Linked DNA regions of Elephas maximus indicus. The protein of the gene in region 3 interacts with the protein of the main gene of each other region in a pairwise test. Links are inferred from orthologs where the notes say so. Each region holds a gene or a part of one and is shown on either strand. Other genes may lie near its edges.

What was found.
Region 1: the proteins of CTNNAL1 (region 3) and DMD interact in binary tests that used the Homo sapiens proteins (3 or more experiments, as listed by UniProt). The two-hybrid records come from large-scale screens. The link is inferred for Elephas maximus indicus from reciprocal best matches to the Homo sapiens genes CTNNAL1 and DMD.
Region 2: the proteins of CTNNAL1 (region 3) and RNF135 interact in binary tests that used the Homo sapiens proteins (3 or more experiments, as listed by UniProt). The two-hybrid records come from large-scale screens. The link is inferred for Elephas maximus indicus from reciprocal best matches to the Homo sapiens genes CTNNAL1 and RNF135.

The regions. Positions count from the first base shown.
Region 1 is NC_064846.1:143,367,337-143,374,256, reverse strand, and holds the start of DMD (dystrophin), read right to left. Parts: upstream 3,025-6,920; 5' UTR 2,799-3,024; coding exon of another isoform or gene 2,768-2,798; intron 1-2,767. UniProt on the Homo sapiens protein: Anchors the extracellular matrix to the cytoskeleton via F-actin. Ligand for dystroglycan.
Region 2 is NC_064837.1:26,813,736-26,820,784, forward strand, and holds the start of RNF135 (E3 ubiquitin-protein ligase RNF135), read left to right. Parts: upstream 1-4,025; 5' UTR 4,026-4,126; coding exon 4,127-4,486; intron 4,487-6,050; coding exon 6,051-6,194; intron 6,195-7,049.
Region 3 is NC_064827.1:58,455,094-58,462,042, forward strand, and holds the start of CTNNAL1 (alpha-catulin), read right to left. Parts: upstream 3,016-6,949; 5' UTR 2,906-3,015; coding exon 2,765-2,905; intron 1-2,764. UniProt on the Homo sapiens protein: May modulate the Rho pathway signaling by providing a scaffold for the Lbc Rho guanine nucleotide exchange factor (ARHGEF1).

The sequences.
Region 1 (6,920 bases), on a different chromosome or scaffold from region 3:
ATACCATGTTTGCTGTCTTTACAATGGAATAAGGAATAGTTTAATGAAAAATATGATAAATTGTTTTTATTAAGTTAGGGAAATAATACAGCACAAGGTAGAAGGAGACAGAAAGTTTGGAAAATCACTTTGTTTTACTCATGAGATAAAGCCATGATGAAAGAAATATAATAAAATTAAAAATAAAACACCTGACTTTTCGAAGACGACAAAGATTTTAATCTCTTTTATTAAACCACACAAGTGGTTAAGAACTTGGCAATTTGTTTCACATGTAGCAAGTGGCTTAGCGTGCAAGAATTTCAAATGAATACAGCACTTCAAGACTAAAGAAAAAGCTCTATTAAGTATCCCTGCCCAACTCGTGAATCTATATTTCAGTATTGTCTAGCTAGAATAGTGTCAACCAATAACTTTTTTTTCTTACGTAAGTTAAATTTGTAAAAAACACTTTGCAGGTGTTTTATGTATTTTTTTTATTTTAGTTTAGATGAATATCTACATGACATTCTCTATTTTTCATAATGTTATGCCATGTAAGAGACACTAAAAGCTTCTTATTAAATTAAAAAGTATACAATCTATTTAGATCAGCAACCTCTTTTTCATAGTGGTAAGATGCCCTTAAAAGACTTTGCAAATTAAATTTTAAAATAGGATTTTATTAGACTTCAAGATAATTTGGAAACGTAGGTGTAGTGGTTAAGAGCGATGGCTGCTAACCAAAAGATCAGCAGTTCGAATCCACCAGGTGCTTCTTGGAAACCCTATGGGGCAGCTCTACTCTGTCCTATAGTGTCTCTGTGAGTCGGAATCGACTCCATGGCAATGGGCTCTGGTTCTAAGATAATTTACAGCATTTTAAAAAAATGAATGAAATGTACACATGCAAAGAATTACACATATAATCCTTGTCAATGAATTATTGAGCAATCCTCAAAAGTAAACAGTATTTCTGTTAATATAGTGATCTCCTCTGTTAAAGTGTAACTATTTTGGTTTAAAAATAACCAAATGAAATGTAATTGTATCCTTCTGAATTTTCAAACCAAGGCATTTTTTTTGTTGTTGTTGTTCAAACTGGACTCACATGCAAATACATCAAAATAGTAGTATGTTGTCAACTGGTAAAATTTAATGTGAAATATAGCCCTGTGAATGTGTCCATTTTCTCTTAACAAACCCACTATCATGTAGCATAAGCATTACCTGCTGATTTTAAAATTCACTATAATAAAGTCGTACAGGGTATGTTCCCAAAAGGTTAGCTTTCTTAAATTCGAATTAAGACATTAAAAAGATATTTAAATATCTATGACAAAACAGAGAGTAGGTTGGCCTTGCTTCATTCCAGAATTGTCTCTTTGCTTTTCTTTTAGAATTGGCTTACACACAGGTATATGAAAGTATGTGTATGCATGGCTACATATATAGACACAAAAAGCACACACAAAGAACGAATATATGTTATATGTTTTTGTCATTGTAGTAAGTGAATGATTTTCAGTCAGAAAGCAACACTGATGCTCATCAAATTAATTTCTAAAATAAGGTAAAAATATCAGTAAATGCTCCACTACGAGACCTGGGAGCAGCTAATACAAACCAGTAAACAATAGTAATTTATTCCTAGAAATCTTTCCCAAGGGTAAAACTTCTGTTCTATTTCACCAGAAGCTGTGAAGAGTTACTTACTTAGAGAGATTTACTTTTTCATTCTTAATTATGGGTGTTGCTCTTGTACCTATTTTAGAGTGACTGGAATCCACAAGTCAGAGATAGAAAAAAAGAAAAAAAAAAAGATGTGTCCTTCATCCACCTCTTTGGGACACACTGTTCTCACCATATATTATTTTTATATCCTATTTTCACCGTAGTTAATTTCTAAATTTGGCAGAAGTCATCGTGACTTCCTTAAAAATAAACATAAATGTTGTATTTTAAATAAAAGCCTGACTATAGAGCTAGGCCGTCATAAACATGAAACAATGAACTGACTTTGGTAACTTTACTGCAAAATATGATTGGAAGTCCTTCACCTTTATGTTGTTTTCCCAAGAAACAGAGTACATGGTCATTTGGCAATACAGATCATATCAGCATTTGAAAGAATTCTCATGAAATGCTACAGAAAAGAACGTTCATAATACTAAATGTAATATGAGAAGGGAGCTTCTATTTAAATCTTTATCAATACTTTTCCCAACCTCCATTTCTCTATTACAATTCATTGTATTCTTTATTTTTTTTCTCCTCTGATCTGCCAGATACAATTTTCTAACCTCGAGGTCCCCACCTCATTCCCATACAACAATTAGTTCATGAAGAAGATATGTCAGGTCACTACCCAACATGTAATATATAATATTACATGTAAGCATTACTAAATACAGAAGTATCAAAATCATCAGGATAATAACTCAGAGACACAAACTATTTCACAGCAATCAAAGCGGTCTGTTACAAGCACTCAAAGCAGTGATGCTTATTCTATTATTTTAGGAGCTTCTTAAAATAAGAAAGATGTGTTAGGTGCAATTTGCAAAGAAAACATTTTGAATTCTACCTCCTTTCTGTTGAAAAGTTTTCTCAATGAGAGGTATGTACACCTTCACATATATGGCTATGTACAGTATATATAAGACAACATTTATGCTTATTCACAGACTACTATACTAATTTAAAATCAATTTGCCTCATCAGTGAGCTTGTCACAAACTAAATGTTAAGCCATGGCAAAAGATATTTTTAGTTACTTTGTACTTACAACAGTCCTCTACTTCTTCCCACCAAAGCATTTGGAAAATAAGTATATATCAGGGCAGCGATAAATATCTTGGTAAAAATTTCTTCCAACTTTATTGCTCGAGTAGGCTTAGGAATGATGAGAAACCAATAAACTTCTGGAGCCTTAAAAAAATACTTCAGTTTTCCTATCCGTTTCTCTCTGAAGGTAATTGCCTCCAAGATCTGAGCCCTGTAGGGGAAAAGTGAGTGATCCCAACACTGAGTGAGTCAACATAGTGACTGGTGCCAGAATTCTGTAGAGGCCTCTGGATACTTCAAATTCCAGGACCTGCGCAGAAGCAAGTGACCCGCCTTTCCCTCAAGTTGGTTTCCCATAATAGGACTGCCCATGGACACTACATATAAGGTTGTTCTTCCAGCATGGCAAGTCCTGTGAATTCAAATAACGTTCAACTGTATTCTGGTTAATATCCAAACCAGAACAGCATAGTGGACAGAGAACTTGTTCTCCAAGACTTCTCAACACAAAAACTGCACATTACAAAAATGTAACAGTATTTTCTGTGACTTTTTTTTATGCAGTTTTATAAAATAACAGAGCAGAATAGCCTGATCTAGAACTGATTTTTAATGTCTCCCCCCCCCTCCCGCCCCCATTTCTGAACAACACTAAAAATTTCACTCTACTGACACAAAAAGAAATGCCTGGAATAATCTATGCATTTGTTATACATCCAGTGTCTACAAAAGGTAATTTCTACCGTTGGGAACTAATCAAAAGCCATGTATTGATGATCCCAACAATCTGAATAAGAAAAGCAACAGACGAATGTGGCAGCTGATCTCTGAACGCAGAATGTATGTAGGTCTCCCAGGACTAGTTTTCTGCTAAAATAAAGAGCACTCTTACAATGGAACGAAGAAATCCCAGTTGCAGGTTATGATACAACTTCTTTACAAACAAATTACTCTTTCTTCAGTTTCTTTGGTGACAATTATTAAAACACCATTCTCTTAGACATTAAGTTAAAGATCAATTATTTAGTGGCTCACAACAGAGGTTTCCTTTTGTGTTAAACGAGCACAGTTTTAACCTGTCATTCAGGATGCTTGTAAATCGTTCGTTGCCAATACAAAGCTGCTTCTTTTTCTTTATTATTATTGTTTAATGAGACAGGTACATGCAATATTTATAGAAAACATTAGTGACTTTTTTTGAAAGATATTATTTTTGATTATACTAATCCCTGCCAAAATTATTTGAGTGTTGTTTTTTGTTGTTGTTGTTATTGTTAGCTGCCGTTGATCCGGTGTTTCTCTAGTACCATTATTAAAGCGATGCACTCATTTTTCTATGACAAACATTCAATTGCTTGGCACAGAAATAAATTATAGAAAAAATTGATATATTAAGATATTTACCAAATATTATAAATATTATCAAATATTTACCAAATAATATCAAATATTATTATGATGATAAGAATATCATCATAATAATATTTCCATTTTCCCCAACAAAACTTTTATATAGGTTGTCCCTGGATTACGAACATCTGACTTACGTACAACATGTAGTTACAAACCAAGCCCTGTAAAGCCTATGATGTACCTACAATGCTTTATAATAACAAATGGTACTACTTTGTGACACACATCAAAACATTATTATTACTATATTATTACGTTAAAGATATTTTAGTGTATCTGGAAGTATTTCTTTAATGTTTTTTATGCATAGAAAGATACATTATATACTGACAAACATCTGCTAGCTGAAATTAGATAGCAACTGTACCTAACTGTTCTGTCTTAAGGTATAAATTTGACTTAAAGACAGGCTTAGGAACGAAACTCACTTGTAATCAGTGACTGCCAGTAAAACAAAAAGCCTAATTTTTAAATTTAAGGTTATTTAAATTGCCATTAGCCAAAAACAGATTTAAAATGTTCCTATCCATAGGTCACCTTATTTCCACTCCTTAGTGTGGTTGTCTAAATATGCATATAAGCAACCATTTTTATTCATTCATAAAACAAATGTTTGGGGACAGAATTGAAAAAGAAGCACATTAAAATATTATCTATAACTAAACATACACTGTATGTGTATGATGTCGAAATAATTTTAAATGATAAGGTTATAATTGTTTATAGAGTAATTTACAGAGACCTATAATTTTTCAAAAACGCAAAGCATATTTCTATTATATTAAAGTAATGCATCGCATCAGCATGTTCTTTTAAATTACTCTTTAGCCTACAGTTTTATGATCCATGTCGTAAAATGAAGACTAGACCTTACTTGTATTCCAATATTACCAGTAATCCCTATATCATAAAGTAAACAACAAATTAACTAGGAAGAGCCAAGTGTGCTAAACTTAAAAGTGAACAAGGAATAAAATCTTAACGAAAATCCCTAAAGGCATTTGTCATGGATTGAATTGTGTCCCCCCAAAAATGTGTATATCAACTTGGTTAGGCCATGATTCCCAGTATTGTGTGTCCTCCATTTTGTGATTGTAATTTTATGTTGAGAGGATTAGGGTAGGATTGTAACACCACCCTTACTCAGGTCACCTCCCTGATCCAAGGTAAAGGGAGTTTCCCTGGGGTGTGGCCTGCACCACCTTTCATCTCTCAAGAGATAAAAGGAAAGGGAAGCAAGCAGAGAGTTGGGGACCTCATACCACCAAGAAAGCAGCACCAAGAGCAGAGTGCATCCTTTGGGCCTAGGGTCACTACACCTGAGAAGCTCCTCAACCATGGGAAGATTGAGGACAAGGACCTTCCTCCAGAGGTGACGGAGAGAGAAGGCCTTCCGCTGGAACTGACACCCTGAATTTGGACTTGTAGCCTACCAGAGTATGAGAGAATAAATTTCTCTTTGTTAAAGCCATCCACTTGGGGTATTTCTGTTACAGCAGCTCTAGCTAAGACAGCATTATTTTAGAGAAATCGGGAAGGGAGTGGGTTATTCTCCCCCCCCCCCATAACAAACTATTTAAGGTATTTTTAAGCATTAAGATGAATGCAGTTTCACAGGATAATAGTCTGGAAAGAAACACGTCTGATATTTATTTAAAGTTCACAACTTTATTGATTTGGGAAAAATCATTTGGTGGTCATTTATGCCACCCTTCTCCACAGTGATTCATACTTGTTGAAATGTTGCACCTTCTGTAAAGTCATATATTTCTAAGATGTTTTTAAAATTTTCTTTTTACTTAAATCCAATTGAATTATTTGCTAGTTTATGGGCTACTTTATAGGCACTCAGGCCAGGAAAAAAAAAAAAAGACAATTACGATTTAGGCAATTTGGTGCTTGTCTGTATATACAAAAATTCTTGTTGGGATTTTGATAGGAATTTCATTAAATTAAAAAAAATTGATATCTTTACTATGTTAAGTCTTCCAATCCATGAACATGGTATTCTATCTCCATTTATGTAGTTCTTTGATTTCTTTCAGGATCCCAGTATTAGGGAGAAAGCATTCAATCTTTCACCATTAAATATGATGTTAGCTACAGGAATTTTTTGTAGGTGTTCTTACCAAGTTGAGGAAGTCCTCTTCTATTCCTAGTTTTCTGAGAGTTTTTATCATGAAAAGGTGCTGAATTTTGTCAAATGCTTTTATTTTTTCCCTGCATCAATTCATAGGATCATGTGATTGTTCTTCTTTAGCCTGTTAATATGATGGATCAAATTTTGTTAAGGATTTTGGACCTACATTCATGAGGGGCATTGGTCTGTATTTTTCTTTTCCCTTTCCTTTTTTTTTTTTTGAGGAGGGGATACTGTGCTGGTTTTGGAAACTCTGGGGGCACAGTGGTTAAGAGCTATGGCTGCTAACCAAAAGGTCGGCAGTTCGAACCCACCAGGTGCTCCTTGGAAACCATATGCGGCAGTTCTATTCTGTCCTATAGGGTTGCCATGAGTCGGAATCAACCATATGGGAATGGGTTTGGTTTTCTCGGTGTGCCGGTTTTGGTATCAGAGTATTGCTGGCCTTGTAAAGTGTATTTGGAAGTATTTCCTTCTCTTCTATTTTCTGGTAGTTGACAGTTCTTTTCTTTCATCACATGAAAAAATATTGTGTCACTTCAATCTGGTCTCCACGGTTTCTCGTAAGAAATTTGCTGTCATTTGAATTTTTTCCCCGTAT
Region 2 (7,049 bases), on a different chromosome or scaffold from region 3:
GTTACTCTGCATCATCACTAGCACTTAGTATTGTCAGTGTGTTTTATTTCAGGCATTGTAATAGGTATGTAGTGGACGCTCATCACGATTTTAATCTGTATTTCCCTAGCGGCTAGTGATTTACATTCTTATTTTCTATCTTTGATGAAATGACTGTCCAAGTGCATTAGCCCCTTTCTTAAGCTGGTTGTTTTCTTATTGTTGAGTTTTGAGAGCTTTTTTTAAATTAATTCTGGATACTATTTTTTTGACAGATATAGGACTTGCAAACATTTTCCCCCAGCCTGTGGCTTGTCTTCTTATCCCCTGAACAGAGTCAGTGAAGCCTTCTTTAATCAAGACGTTGAGGTCAGGGTTCATGACTTTCTCTATTTTATGCAGATTTTTGTTTGGTAATAGAAATTTTTGACTTGCTGGCCTGACAGACTGGAGAAACCCTGAGAGTATGGCTCCCAGACACCCTTTCAGCTCAGTAATGAGATCACTTCTGGGGCTCACCCTTCAGCCAAAGATTAAACAGACCCCATGCAAAAGGGGTGCCCCAGCCCAGGGGCAGGGACTGGAAGGCAGGAGGGAACAGGAAAGCTGGTAATAGGGAACCCATGGTTGAGAAGGGAGAGTGTTGACATGTCGTGGAGTTGTTAACCAATGTCATACAACAATGTGTGTACTGTTTGATGAGAAACTAGTTTGTTCTGTAAACCTTCATCTAAAGTACAATTTAAAAAACAAAATAAAAAATTGGGTGTTCTGGCTTATGTTCAAAGTTTTAGATTCACCTATCGTAAAGTGGAGTGGAAGTTAGGACAATGTTCACGTAATGAACTCTTCCTTCTGCCGACAAAAAAATTCTTTGTCCCTGAAGGAATTTATTAAGAGCAAAGCAAAGAAAGCACAGATAAAACGTGTTATTTCGTGCAGTGCACACTCGATAACCTTGCCATTTCTCATCTAACTTAGCACTGGGAACCAGAATCACAGAGCTGTGTATTAACACGCTTGAATTTAAAAATGACATCACTCTCTGATAGAAATTGAGTCTGAATTGACTGACTGGTTTGACAGTGGGAACTGGCTTTGCTAATTAGGTTATATAGCAAATATTTTGCAAACGTGAATAAGCTAAAAGTACAGCTACAGATTTTTGAGGAAAATATATTTCAAGCATACAACCAGTTGAAAGCAACTATTCGAAAAAGTATATAGCAAAGGCATGTTGAAAATGCTAATTTCACCAGCTTTTTCTGAGTATATCAGGTTAAACAAGGTGACTCCTACTAAAAGAGTGACTGGTATAATTGATAGTTATTTGATAAACTTTAATAAAGTCTTTTTTGGCATGCTTCCCAGAAAATCAGAAACAGAATACCTTTGACTTTTGCAACACAGGTGGTTTCAAATTCCTTGCTTTCAGCCAAAAAAAAAAAAAAAGGAAAATCAAATTGTCAGCTGAGAGATAATTAAAAATAACTTTTACGATAGATCATGATGTGATATTTTACAATTTATCTCAGAACTGTTCAACCAAATGTGTGACATTGTTACCATTTATTAAAGTACGTAAACAAGGATTGTCAGAACTAACGTTTATTTAAAACAAACCCGTTGCCATGGGGCTGATTCCAACTCATAGCAACTCTACAGGACAGAGTAGAACTGCCTTATAGAGTTTCCAGGAGTGGCTGGTGGATTTGAACTGCCAACCTTTTGATTAGCAGCCAAGCTCTTAACCACTGCACCACCAGAGCTCCTGAAAGCAGAGAAAACCAGAAAGATGTTTACCTGTGTTTCACTGACTATGCAAAGACATTCGACAATGTGGATCATAACAAATTATGGATCACATTGCAAAGAATGGGAATACCAGAACACTTAATTGCACTCATGAGGAACCTGTACATACATCAAGAGGCCATCATTCGAACATAACAAGGGGATACTACGTGGTTTGAAGTCAGGGTTGTGTCCTTTTACCATACTTATGCAATCTATATGCTGAGCAAATAAATTGAGAAGCTGGACTCTAAGAAGAAGAACAACGGGGCATCAGGATTGAAGGAAGACTCATTAACAATCTGTGATATGCATATGACACAGCCTTGCTTGCTGAAAGTGAAGAGACTTGAAGCACTTACTGATGAAGATCAAAGACCACAGCCTTCGGTATGGATTACACCGCAACATAAAGAAAACAAAAATCCTTTTTTTTTTTTTGTAACCATTATATGTTTTTGCATAAAACCTTTAGGAGGTGCCCAAGAAAAAAAAAGTTTGAAGACAACTGGTTAACCAACTCTTTCAAAGAACCCTGGCTGTGAAATGGAGAAGTAGTAGCTAAAGGGAGGTTTAGATCAAAGAAAATTTCTTTTTTATTTATTTTGTTGTTGAGAACATACATAGTAAAAATTACACCAATTCAACAGTTTCACATTGATTACATTCTTCAAGTTGTGCAATCATTCTCACCCTCCTTTTCTGAGTTATTCCTCCCCCATTAAAATAACTTCACTGCCCTCTAAGGTTCCTATCTAATTTTTCAAGTTGCTGTTGTCAATTTGACCCCATATAGATAGTCCTTAAAAGAGTATAAGGCTCAAGGCAGACATTTTTTACTAGTTAAGCTAAACTATTGTTTGGTTTTAAGACTTCTGGGGATATTTTTGGTTTAAGGCTTAAAGACTATCTCAGGGCAATAGCTTCAGCAGTTCATCCAACCTTCATGGCTCCAGGAAACCTGGAATCCATGAGAATTTGAAATTCTGTTTTGCATTCCCCCTCCCCAACTTTTTAAAATTGTGCTTTAGGTGAAAGTTTACAGCTCAAGTTAGTTTCTTATTCAAAAAATCTATACACATATTGTTCTGTAACATTGATTGCAATCCGCACAATGTGACAACACTCTTCGTTCCACCCTGGGTTCCTCCTGTCCATTTGTCCTGTTTTCCTGTCCCTTCTTGCCTTCTTGTCTTGCTTTTGGGCAGTAGTTGCCCATTTGGTCTCATATATTTGATTGAACTAAGAAGTATATTCCTCACATATGTTATTGTTTGTTTTACAATCCTGCCTAATCTTTGTCTTTATCCATAATTTGTTATGATCCACACCGTCGAATGTCTTTGCATAGTCAATAAAACACAGGTAAACATTTTTTCTGGTATTCTCTGCTTTCAGCCAAGATCCATATGACATCAGTGATGATATCCTTCCTTCCACATCCTCTTCTGAATCTGGCTTGAATTTCTGGCAGTTCCCTGTGATGTACTACCCAACCGTTTCTGAATTACCTTCAGCAAAATGTTACTTGTGTGTGATATTAATAAACCCCCACCAAATATTAATAGCGATTAAAAAAACAAACAAAAAAACCATGCTGGTGCTCCACCTCAGACAATGAAATCAGACTCTCTGGGGTCGGGTGCAAACTTTGGTATTTTTAAAGAGCTTCCTAGCTAATGGGTACCGGGTAATTCTTATTTCCTCACCACTTGCTAGAGGGGTTAGATGTCACCTAATGGGCGCATTCTCGTAAGTGAGCTGTTGAATCGAATCCTCTCTTTTTCCTTCTCCCAAAAGTTGTCCAGGTTATGTCTTAATGGGGACATCAAACTATAGGGAGCCTTTGAGACATCAGTGAGTTCCTAGCGATTTGGGGATCAGCTGATTCTCCAGTACGGGAGGCAGTAACTTAGGGCCGGCTCAACGCATGAGACGCTGCGAGCTGGGCAGTGGAGAAACTAAGCCAGCTTTCGGGGAGACTGGACAGAAGGAGAATCCCCGGGTGGTGCAAACGGTTAAGCGCTCTACTAATGTTTGAACCCACCTAGAGGCGCCTCGGAAGACAAGCCTGGCGATCTGCTTCTGAAAGGTCACGGCCTTGGAAACCCTACGGAAGGTAGTTCTCTGCATACAAGAGGTCGCCAGGAGTCAAAATCGACTCAAGGGCCACTTTTTTTTCTTTTTTGGAGAGAAGAAAAGTGGAGGATGGGAGAGAGGAGGGGACCAGGCAGCAGGAAGGCTGGAGGCGGGAGAGGAAGAGCGGGGGAGGAGCCAGAGGAGAAGTGGCGGAGGGCGGCCGGTCCCCAGCTGGGCCTTGACTTCCGCGCCCCCGCGCCTGGCCGCCGTCACCATGGCGGGCTTGGACTCCGGCCCGGCCATCCCGGTGTGGCTGAACGAGGACGACCTGGGCTGCATCATCTGCCGCGGGCTGCTCGACTGCCCCGTTACGCTGCCCTGCGGCCACAGCTTCTGCAGCTCCTGCCTGAAGAGCCTGTGGGGCTCCTGGGCCGAGAAGCCGCGCTGGGCCTGCCCCACCTGCCGCGAGGGCGCCCCGCAGAAGCCGCCGCTGCGGAAGAACACGCTGCTGCAGGACCTGGCCGACAAGTACAGCCGGGCGGTGCGCGAGCTGGAGGAGGGCGGCCGCGGGGCTGGCCCCGAGCTCGCGCCCGGCCCGGCCCCGGCCTCCCGGCGCCGCCCTGCAGCCCTGCCGGTAGGGAGGCGGCCCTGGGGGCTCTCCTGGCCCGCAGCCTGCCGCGCCGCCTTCCGCCTTCCTCCTCCCAGCGCCCCTTCCCACTCTCCCCTTTCGGCTCTTCTTCCCTCCAACATCCTTATCCTTTCTATGTTTACGTTAACTTTCTCAGTCTAAAGGTAGAACCCGCTCTTTGGCGAATCTTTGGAAAGTTCGGAAAAGTAGAACCGACTGTCAACCTAGCTGCTGTACACCTGGCCTTACTTCCATTTCTTTTCAGCTTTTCCGCGCCCTTTTCAAACAGAGTTGAGACTACATTGTACATCTTCCTTTTGGGTATAAACACGGAATTATCCCTCGGGTCCTTAAAACTCTTCGTGAACATAGCTTTTGGTGACTGAATACGCTTCACATTGGCTTTTAAATTGAAGTGATTTTCTTTGACTGGCAGGACATGGGAGGATGTAAAAACATATTTTCTTTATTAATTCTCTGTGTTTTTCAAATTCAGTACAATGAGTGTACGTTTCTTTTATGATGTAAAAAGTAATGCACTTATTTTTTTAATGTTTTGAATTAGCTCAGGTGCCTGGATAAGGGCTCCACTCCAGAGTTCCAGGTACCTGAAAACTGGGGCTTGGAAACTTAAGAGCGAGCAGTGTTACCGGTGGCCTGTCACCTCCCTCTGTAAAATAGCCTGAGTCTGGGTTCCAAACATGTTATCTGAGAGGACATCTAGGCTTCTTAGAGATGAAAAAAGGTTCTGGGTCAAAGATTTTTGAAGTTCCGACATGATTTTTTTAAAAAGGAAAATGCCCAAAGTTAAACAAAAAACCTGGTCTATTTAGAGTTGGATGATGAACATCTTGTATTTCTGTGACTCTACAGCGGACCACCGTTTTCCATTTAAGGTCTGGGTCCAGCCTTCCGTGGATGTCACCAGGTCTTGATGGCGTTGTCAGTATGTGTTGGCTGCAAACTTGCTCCCACCCCAACCAGACAGCTCAGCAGAATAAGCTCTTTGGCGTGGAGTTGTTTAGCACTCTCATCTGAATTTTTTTTTAATGTGAAGGATGTCAAAAAGAGCTCGTATCTGCGTAATACTTTAAAGTCTCCAAGATATTTTTACAATGGATGGTTAGGTAGATCCTTCTTACTCCTGAAGGTGGGGGGGGGGGGGGAGTTGAGGTCACAGGATGAGCCATAGCCAAGAGTCCAGCTCAGACCTGAGCCTTGTGCCTTCTGCTTCACCACTCACCTTCTCAGCCTCCATCTACCCCTGCCAAATCCAGGCTCTCTCACCCCATTTCCCCTCTGACTTCCCCTGCATAAAGCAACCCACAAGTTTCCTTTCACACTTCACTCCCATCCCCATCCCATGGATGAACTAGGGTTCCCTGTTATGGCCACTGGGAGATCAGTAGTGGGAAACGGGAATGAGCAAGGTCTACCTGCTCATTTTCTGGACAATAGTTAGTTCTTTCATCCCTTCCTTGCCTACTTCCTTTACCCAGTGTTTATGGCTGCCACTGTCCAGTGCTGGATGCTGGGTCCAGCTTTATGTTCTATCTTTGCTCTTTTAAAGGCAGCAGCACAGAGGAGCATCACAGAAGTTGGTCGGGAGCTGGGAGAGCTGGTGGAGCAGCTTGTAGACATCACCAGGAGCCTTCAGAATCAGAGATCCCTCTCACAATCTGAGGCAGACAATGAACTGACCATCTTGGGCACGGTATGGTTAGCTTGGAGAGGAAAAGATTGCGAGGGGGATGAGCAAAGGGTGCCTTCCAACTGGGACAACATGAATATATTTTGAGTTGAGGGATGCAATACATCTCAATCTTTCATTGTCCTCTTTATTACCAAAGACAGATGATCAGAATCGTGGAGTACTTGAAGTGAGGTCCAGAAGCTTTGAGCTAGATTCTACCTCATCACTGCACCTAACCAAGCTCTAAGATCACCAGTGACCTCCAAGTAAATCCTGCAGACACTCTGATTCTTGACCTCTCAGCAGCCTTCAACACAATTGATTGCACCTTTCTTCTTGAAGCATTCTCTTCCCTTAACTTCCAAAACACAAGCTTCCCAGTCCTCCCTCCAGCTCCACCTGCTCCTTCTCAGTCTATTTTGCAGGCTTACCCTTTCTGCTCAGCACTGAAATGCTGGAATTCTTCAAGGCTTAGTTGTAGGTTCCTTTCTCTTCCCCTGAAGTGGTCTTCCCACACCCATGGTTTTAATTACCACTGTATGCACAAACACTTCCATCCTGGATCCTTCTCTAAGGTCTAGGCTGGTACCTTCCTTCTCATCTTTTCCTTTTGAGTATCTCAAAGGCACATTACACTTAACGTGTCCCAAACTGTTCCTCCTCTGGGACTCCCCATCTCAGTGACTGGCCCCATTATCCTTCCAAGTGCACAAGACAGAAACCTGGGAGCCATTCGTGTCACCCCCACCCTTACCCCCAATATGTAGCCTACTGTAGCTCCAAGAGGAAACCCTGGTGGTGTAGTGGTTAAGTGCTACAGCTGCTAACCAAAAGGTCGGCAGTTCGAATCCTCCAGGTGCTCCTTGGAAACTCTAT
Region 3 (6,949 bases):
TTTTTTAATTTTAAGCATAATTTTCACTTTTTCTTGTTGAGTACAGTAAATCATTAGGAACCCTGGTGGAGAAACAGTTAAGCGCTTGGCTGCTAAGCAAAAAGTCTACGGTTTGAACCCACCAGTAGCTCTGTAGGAGAAAAGACCTGGTGATCTGCTCCCATAAAGATTACAGCCTAGGAAACCCTATGGGGCAGTTCTACTCTGTCATATAGGATTGCTATGAGTCAGAATCAACTCGATTGCGTACAACAATAGTAAATCATTAGGAATATCGGTTATAGTACAAAATGTGTGGGATGCAGAACCTTAGCTGTGGCCCTGCAAGTGGCTTTAACAGAAAAAAAAAAAAAAAAACCTGGCATTTCGCCCTTTGGCATTGACCTCTAGTTAACTCTCATCAGCAGAGCTGTTGAACTGATACGTTTTTAGCAGCAATACTGTGAAAGGTTACCATTTCTCCAGATTGCAACAATCGTCCAGCTTGTTTTCCATTGCAGGCTCTCTTTGTAGTACCTAACAGGTGACCTCATCACTGCTTCTAGTTTCTAGAGTGGATAGTCCCTGGGTGTGACTATGGAGCCAGGCTGCTTGAGTTCAAATCCTAGTTTCGCACATACTAGTTGAAAGATGGAGTCCTGGTGGCGCACTGGTTAAGAGCTCGGCTGCTAACCAAATGGTCAGCAATTTGAATCTATCAGCCACTCCTTGGAAATCCTATGTGGCAGTTCTACTCTGTCCTGTAGGGTTGCTATGAGTCAGAATTGACTGGACAGTGGGTTTGGCTTTTGGTTAGTTGAAAAACTGGAGGGAAATTATTTGACCTCCCTATTCTTTTTTCATTCCTCAGTTTCCTCATCTGTAAAATGAGAATAAACATATGGGCACCTTGTAGGATTGTTGAATGAGTTAATGGAGTACTATCGCCACTACCACCAGCTGCTGCCCAGTCAATTCCAACTCATGCCAACCCCAGGTGGTTCAGAGTACAACTGTGCTCCATTAGATCAGGAGGCCTCTCTTCCAAGGTGCCTCTGGGACTCCGGAGCACTATATACATATTGTTAACTAAACGCATACAAAACACTATCAACTTGAACTCAGCCATCCTCTTCTCCCCTCTCTGTCTCTTAAAACTGCTCCAGTATTTCTCACTTTCAGTTGTAGTTGTGTTGTTGTTCTTGGGGTGAAGGGACCAATTACTACAGACATTACTGACTGATCCCCGCACTCCTTCCCACTGGTCAGTACCTCAATCAGAAGTGTATGTGTGTCGTATACTCATTTACTGTTACCAAAAAACAAAGACCAAATCTGTTACCATCAAGTCTATTCCAACTCATAGAGACCCCTAAAGGACAGACTAGAACTGCCCCATAGAGTTTCCAAGGAGCACCCGGTGGATTTGAACTGCTGACCTTCTGATTAGCAGCTGTAGCTCTTAACTACTACATACCACCAGAGCTTCCCGTTTACTGTTAGCCATGCTAAAATAAGCACAGATGAAGAAATTGGGGTTATTTCATCAACATAACAGGAGTTTAGGGACATGTGTGACAGCTGTCTTCAAATACTAGCAAGGCTGTGATGGAGAAGAAAATTTAGAATTGTATGTAACAGGCCATTTCTCAAAGCTACAGGCTTTCCAGCCATCATTGAACATGTTTAAGCAGAAAACTGTTGACCAGGTGTTAAGGATGCTGTAAGAAAGAATTTTTTCTTTTTTTAATTTAGAGTCAGATAACCTCAAAGATTCATTCTACGTCTAAAATCTTGATAATACTGGTATGAATCATAAAGATTTTTACAATCAGTTGTGAGTCACACATTGCCAACCCGTTCCTGCAGGCACACCATTCTTCGCTCCTCACAGTGGTTGGCACATTACAACAGATCTGAGCGAGGAATTCTAGCCCTCGGGCTGTGTATAAATCAACTCAGAGTAACAAAAACCTTTCTAAAACTAAGCATCGGTTAGCTGATTCTTGACTTCTGTTATGACCAGCAATACAATCATGCATACCTCCCAAAGTGGGATTTGGCAAAAAGGTGTGTGTCCTAGTTAACTACCAGATAGTCCTCTCTTCCAAGACGCCTGACCAAGGCTGACCAGGAGGGGCTGGCAGGTTAAGGAGAAGGTGCAGGGTGGCCCAGGGTGAAGGAGAGATAGGCGGAGCCGACACACAGGCAAGGGAGAGGGACAAAGGCCTCGGGGAGAGCACGCTGGACCTGGCTAGTAGGAAGTGCCCAAAGTGGCCGACAGTCCTGGGTTTGGATTGGGGATGCAAAAGTTTGACCTCAGTCGGTTAATGAGCGGCAACGAGGAGGGCCCCGGGACAGCTGGGGGCCTTCAGGTCTTCTCAGCCTCCCGGGTACTGGGCATGGCTGCCTGTCCCAGCGGAGGCGGCCTCGCTCAGCCGGGGGCCGCCTGCGGCCGCAAGCCCGAAGCCAGTCCTGGGGGCAGACCGGGCAGCGCACCTGCCGGGCCAGGCACCCGAGTCCGAGCCGGGCTCCGCCGAGCCGGCCCAGCCGCCGCCGTCCCGCAGCCTCCCTGCCGCTCAGCCCCACTCTGGCCTGGCCGCTGCATTTCAGATTGCCCCGATTCCCGGCGCCTGAGCCAGGCCCGTCCCTAAGCCCAGCCAGGCCGTCCGACACCGACGGCGCAGTCCTCCCGGGCCGGCCGGGCCCCGGCCGAGCTGGAGGCCGCCGCCATCGCGAGCCGCAGCTGGAGGGAGACGAAGGGCTGCGCTGGGCGCCACTTTACCTGAGAAACTAGCGGGAGCAGCGTCTGCTCCACCGAGCGAGTTTTGATCTCGAGTCCGGAGTCGAAGGCGAAGCCCGACGGGCTGGAGCCGTGGAATGTTCCGGCGCCGCCAACGCCAGCGGGGCCCGGAGAGGCAGCCATGGCCCTCCGCCGGTGCCTAAGCCCACACTCCGCGCCGCTGCGGGCCCGCTGTCCGCCGGCCCACCAGCCCGCGGCAGCAACAGCAGCAGCGCAACCGCACCGCCCGAGGCCCCGCCCCCGCCCAGCACCGCCCAGCCTCCGCCTCCGCCTCCGCCTCCGCCTCTGCCCCGCCTTCATGGCCTACGCGCTCCAGGGCAGCTCCGCTCTCCGCAGCCCCGCCCAGCCCCCCACTTCTGACTCCGTTGCCTGCCCCACCTCCTCCTCTCCTCAGGAGACCTGGGTGGGTTCCTGGCCGCTCTCCACGGCTAGAGTAGGGAACTACTTGGGAAGGATCACAGCCACTGAAAACCCTGAGGAGCACAGTTCTCACACATGGGGTCACCATGAACCATAATCGACTAGAGGAGGGTAACTGCTAGTTATAGTTCACCCTCCACCTTAGCCAGGATCATTTCTCCATTCACAATGTCAGACTGATACTACCAACTCCAGGTATCTGAAAGGTCTTTCCCAAGCACTGCTGAAACGTGCTTCTGATATTACTTCGCTTTATAGGCTCTTCAGGTTTGTTCACCAGTGTTATGCACAGCAGTTATTTTTCCTCTGTGAAAGTCCTATATTGAATAGAGTCATAACTTACGGCCTCAGCCTTGGACACCCTTCAGGCACCCACTCCTCAAATACAGCTTCCCTTACTTAAACTGACCATATTTCAAAAAAACTTCACTGTAGCCTAAGTAAAAGGCAAGACACAAGGCCTAAGAGACAGATGGACATCTTCATTAAAGTTTGGCTTCACTCTTTATCTCAACAGAAATAAGACTAAGTTTACCACCAGATTCATTGAACACTATTAATTTTATTTCAAAATATAAACATTTTACATTTACAAAAGTTACATCAGTAGGTTGTCAAAGCAGGTTAAAGCTGAGAAACAGCATTTATGTGAGAATAAAGAATATTTACTGTTGTATTTGAGTACTCTTTTTACTTTCAAACCATCTTTACTTTGCCTGAGAATGCTGAGTTGATACATTTTCAAAAGGTTACATTAGCAATTACAACTAGATATATCAAATCCTGACCTCAAAATTAAACAATATTTCCAAGAACACTTTAGTCACCTCAACAAGTGGCACTACAAAGGACAAAAGAAGGGTCTTCTTTGGATTAGCTACAATGAGTTATTTTCCTGGTCACTGCAATAGAAATGGTATTTCAATAATAAGCCAAAACGTTACTTTAAGATTTACTTCCGCACCTTCCATTGTACAATACAAAGCTAGAAACAAAAAAAGAAACGAAACCAGGTGTGGAGGAAAGAACGCTGGACTTGGAGTCAGAAGTCCTGTAACTGAAATTCTGACTCCACCGTTTTATGGTATAAAGTTAGGGGAAATTCAACAAACCTTTCTGAGTCTCCAGTGCCTCATCTGTACAATGAGGATAATACTTAACACCTGCCTCACAGGGTTGTTATGAAAAGGGATCTGAAAACTCTAAAGTGCCATACAAAAGCATCACTAAAATGTAATAGCAACAGATCACCACTGTATCTGCACATTAACTGATTCTTTACAAACTTGCAAAACTAAGCATAAATACTGATTTTACACACCATAGGTGGAGAAGAATCTCTATACTTTAAGTATAGCTCTGAAATGTAAATTTTCTCGCTCTCTAGTATCTCACTAAACTTTGAGATTTATTACCTGGTACCATGGTAACGATTTACTATTCAGTGTTTTCATCAGGATGTCTTCTAAAGGGCTGTAAACTTGCTCTACAGCCGTGTTTCTTAAAGGACCAATCCTTTGAGATTCTCTGAATAAAGAAGGAGGGGGGCAAGTCTAGTAAACACAGTCTTCAAACCCTCTTATAAATTCATGGCATGTAATAGTACATCCCAGAGCCCTAGTGGCACAGTGGTCAAGAGATTGGCTGCTAACCAAAAGGTCAGCAGTTTGACTCCACCTGTCGCTCCTTGGAAACCCTACTGGGCAGTTCTACTCTGTCCTATAGGGTTGCTATGAGTCAGAACTGACTCCACAGTAATGAGTTTGGTTCTGGTAACAGTAAGTTAAAACCTCTTAGAGGTCCTATAGAAAGGAAGCAAATTCAGCATTCCTCAATTTTAATAAACCATAAAGTCCCTTCCCCTTCCAACATTTTTTCCCCCTCTTACAACATCTATTAACATCCCTTAGAACAACTGCTATAAGGAACATATATTTTGGCAAATGCTGTTCAAATACAGGGAAAAGGGAAAAGAAGTAGAACAATGAACTGAGGGGAAAAAAACTATTCTACTCAAAATTCTGTTACTAACTGGCTGTGTGTGTTAGACAAGTCATGTTAAACTACGAACGTGTTTCCTTCTCTAGAAAATGACAGAATCACCTAATTATGTAAGATCCATTCTAGCTGAGAATTTCTGACTGCAGGAAGCAGACAGATTAGCTTCATTTTTAAACTATCCAAAAATAACTACTTAGTGGTTTCAGATAGTGTTTATGTATTTCTTGCAGGTCCTCAATATATTAATAAAATTAATGTATTTGATGATGAAATACATAAATGACAAAAAATTGTAAAAACAAAAGTACTTGTTCTTATCTAGAACTAACATTTGGGAGTATGTTGCCAGAAACTATTTCCAGTGTGAAATGCGCCCACTAAGCCCCATTGTAATACTCATGTAAGGGTCTAGGGAGACTTTCAGCACAAGAGTTATGTGAAGTCCTGAAGGGGTCCTTCCTGTAAACCCTGAGACTGAAAGCTCTGGATAGCTCACTAAACTAACTTAATCTGACCCATCATGGCCTGAATTTCTGAGTATCTCTTGCCCAGTATTGAACATTCCTGAAGCACTAATACATCCATATGAGAACTAGAGGTACTAGAAAATTCTGATGGGTCACAGTGGGTTCATGTTAAGACTAAGTTTAGACCTCATCTGCAAGCCCTTTAGCAGCATACACTTTAACTGGTATAAACAGCTGCCACTTCCAAAGAGTACAGAATTTTTAAATACACAGTCTCCGTAACACTTCCCAGGTATCCTCCCACTGTCAGGAATCAACCCACACCAGTCTCAGAAATCAAGGAAGAACTCTGCCAGCTAACCATCTTTCATGGAAGACGGTGTTATGAACCCTCGCAATTAAACAGCAACAAAAAATAAGACTGGCATCTAAGGCAGTCTGACAGACAGAACTTTTAGGAACAGAGTGTAACAGGAATTTCGGACTTAAATGACATGGGGTTTATGTTGAAAATTCCATATCCTGTCCTCATTCTCAAAAGAGAGGAACAATTCTGTAGAGAGGGTTTCAATCTCCTCCTCTCCCTGCACCATGCCCTCCCATTCAGCTTACAATTGAATAGTGAATGTGTACTTGAAACTAATCTTTAATAAAGCTATAAAATGACAAGATATTGTGACAGGATTTATGGACTTGGTTTTTACTGAAGCAAATTCTACCTCATCAATGCATGGTTTGTTCCTAGGGAAGCTCTTTCTGGGTCATACCACTTGGTCTCTACGCCCTGTGAGAATTCTATAAAATCTTTTCACTATATTTGAAAGTCTTTAAATAGGGTAGAGAGGGGGCATGCTAGGCTGCTCCTCTCTGTCTCCGAGGGTCCCTGTCAGACTCCCCCCAGCTAGTTAACCTTCCTATTCCTCACACTGTCACTGGAGTCCTGTGGCAGTTTGTTTCCTGAGTGGGAGTATGTTGCTCTGTAGGGTACCTCTGTTCATGATATTTCAGGGGGATACTGCATCATTGCTGCTAATTTTGGCAACTCTATTCTCTTAGTGCTTAGAGTACTTAAAGTTTCCCTCTAAAAACTCCATATTCATACTAATAATTATGCCCAGCAACAGTCATATGTTAGCTTAAGTTTAGTTACTTGCAATATCACTTTATACAGCTAAAAGCACTTTACCAAAAAGTAAAAAACCAAACCTGCTGCCATGGAGTTGATTCTGACTCATAGCAACCCTACAGTATAGGACAGAGCAGAACTACCCCATAGTAT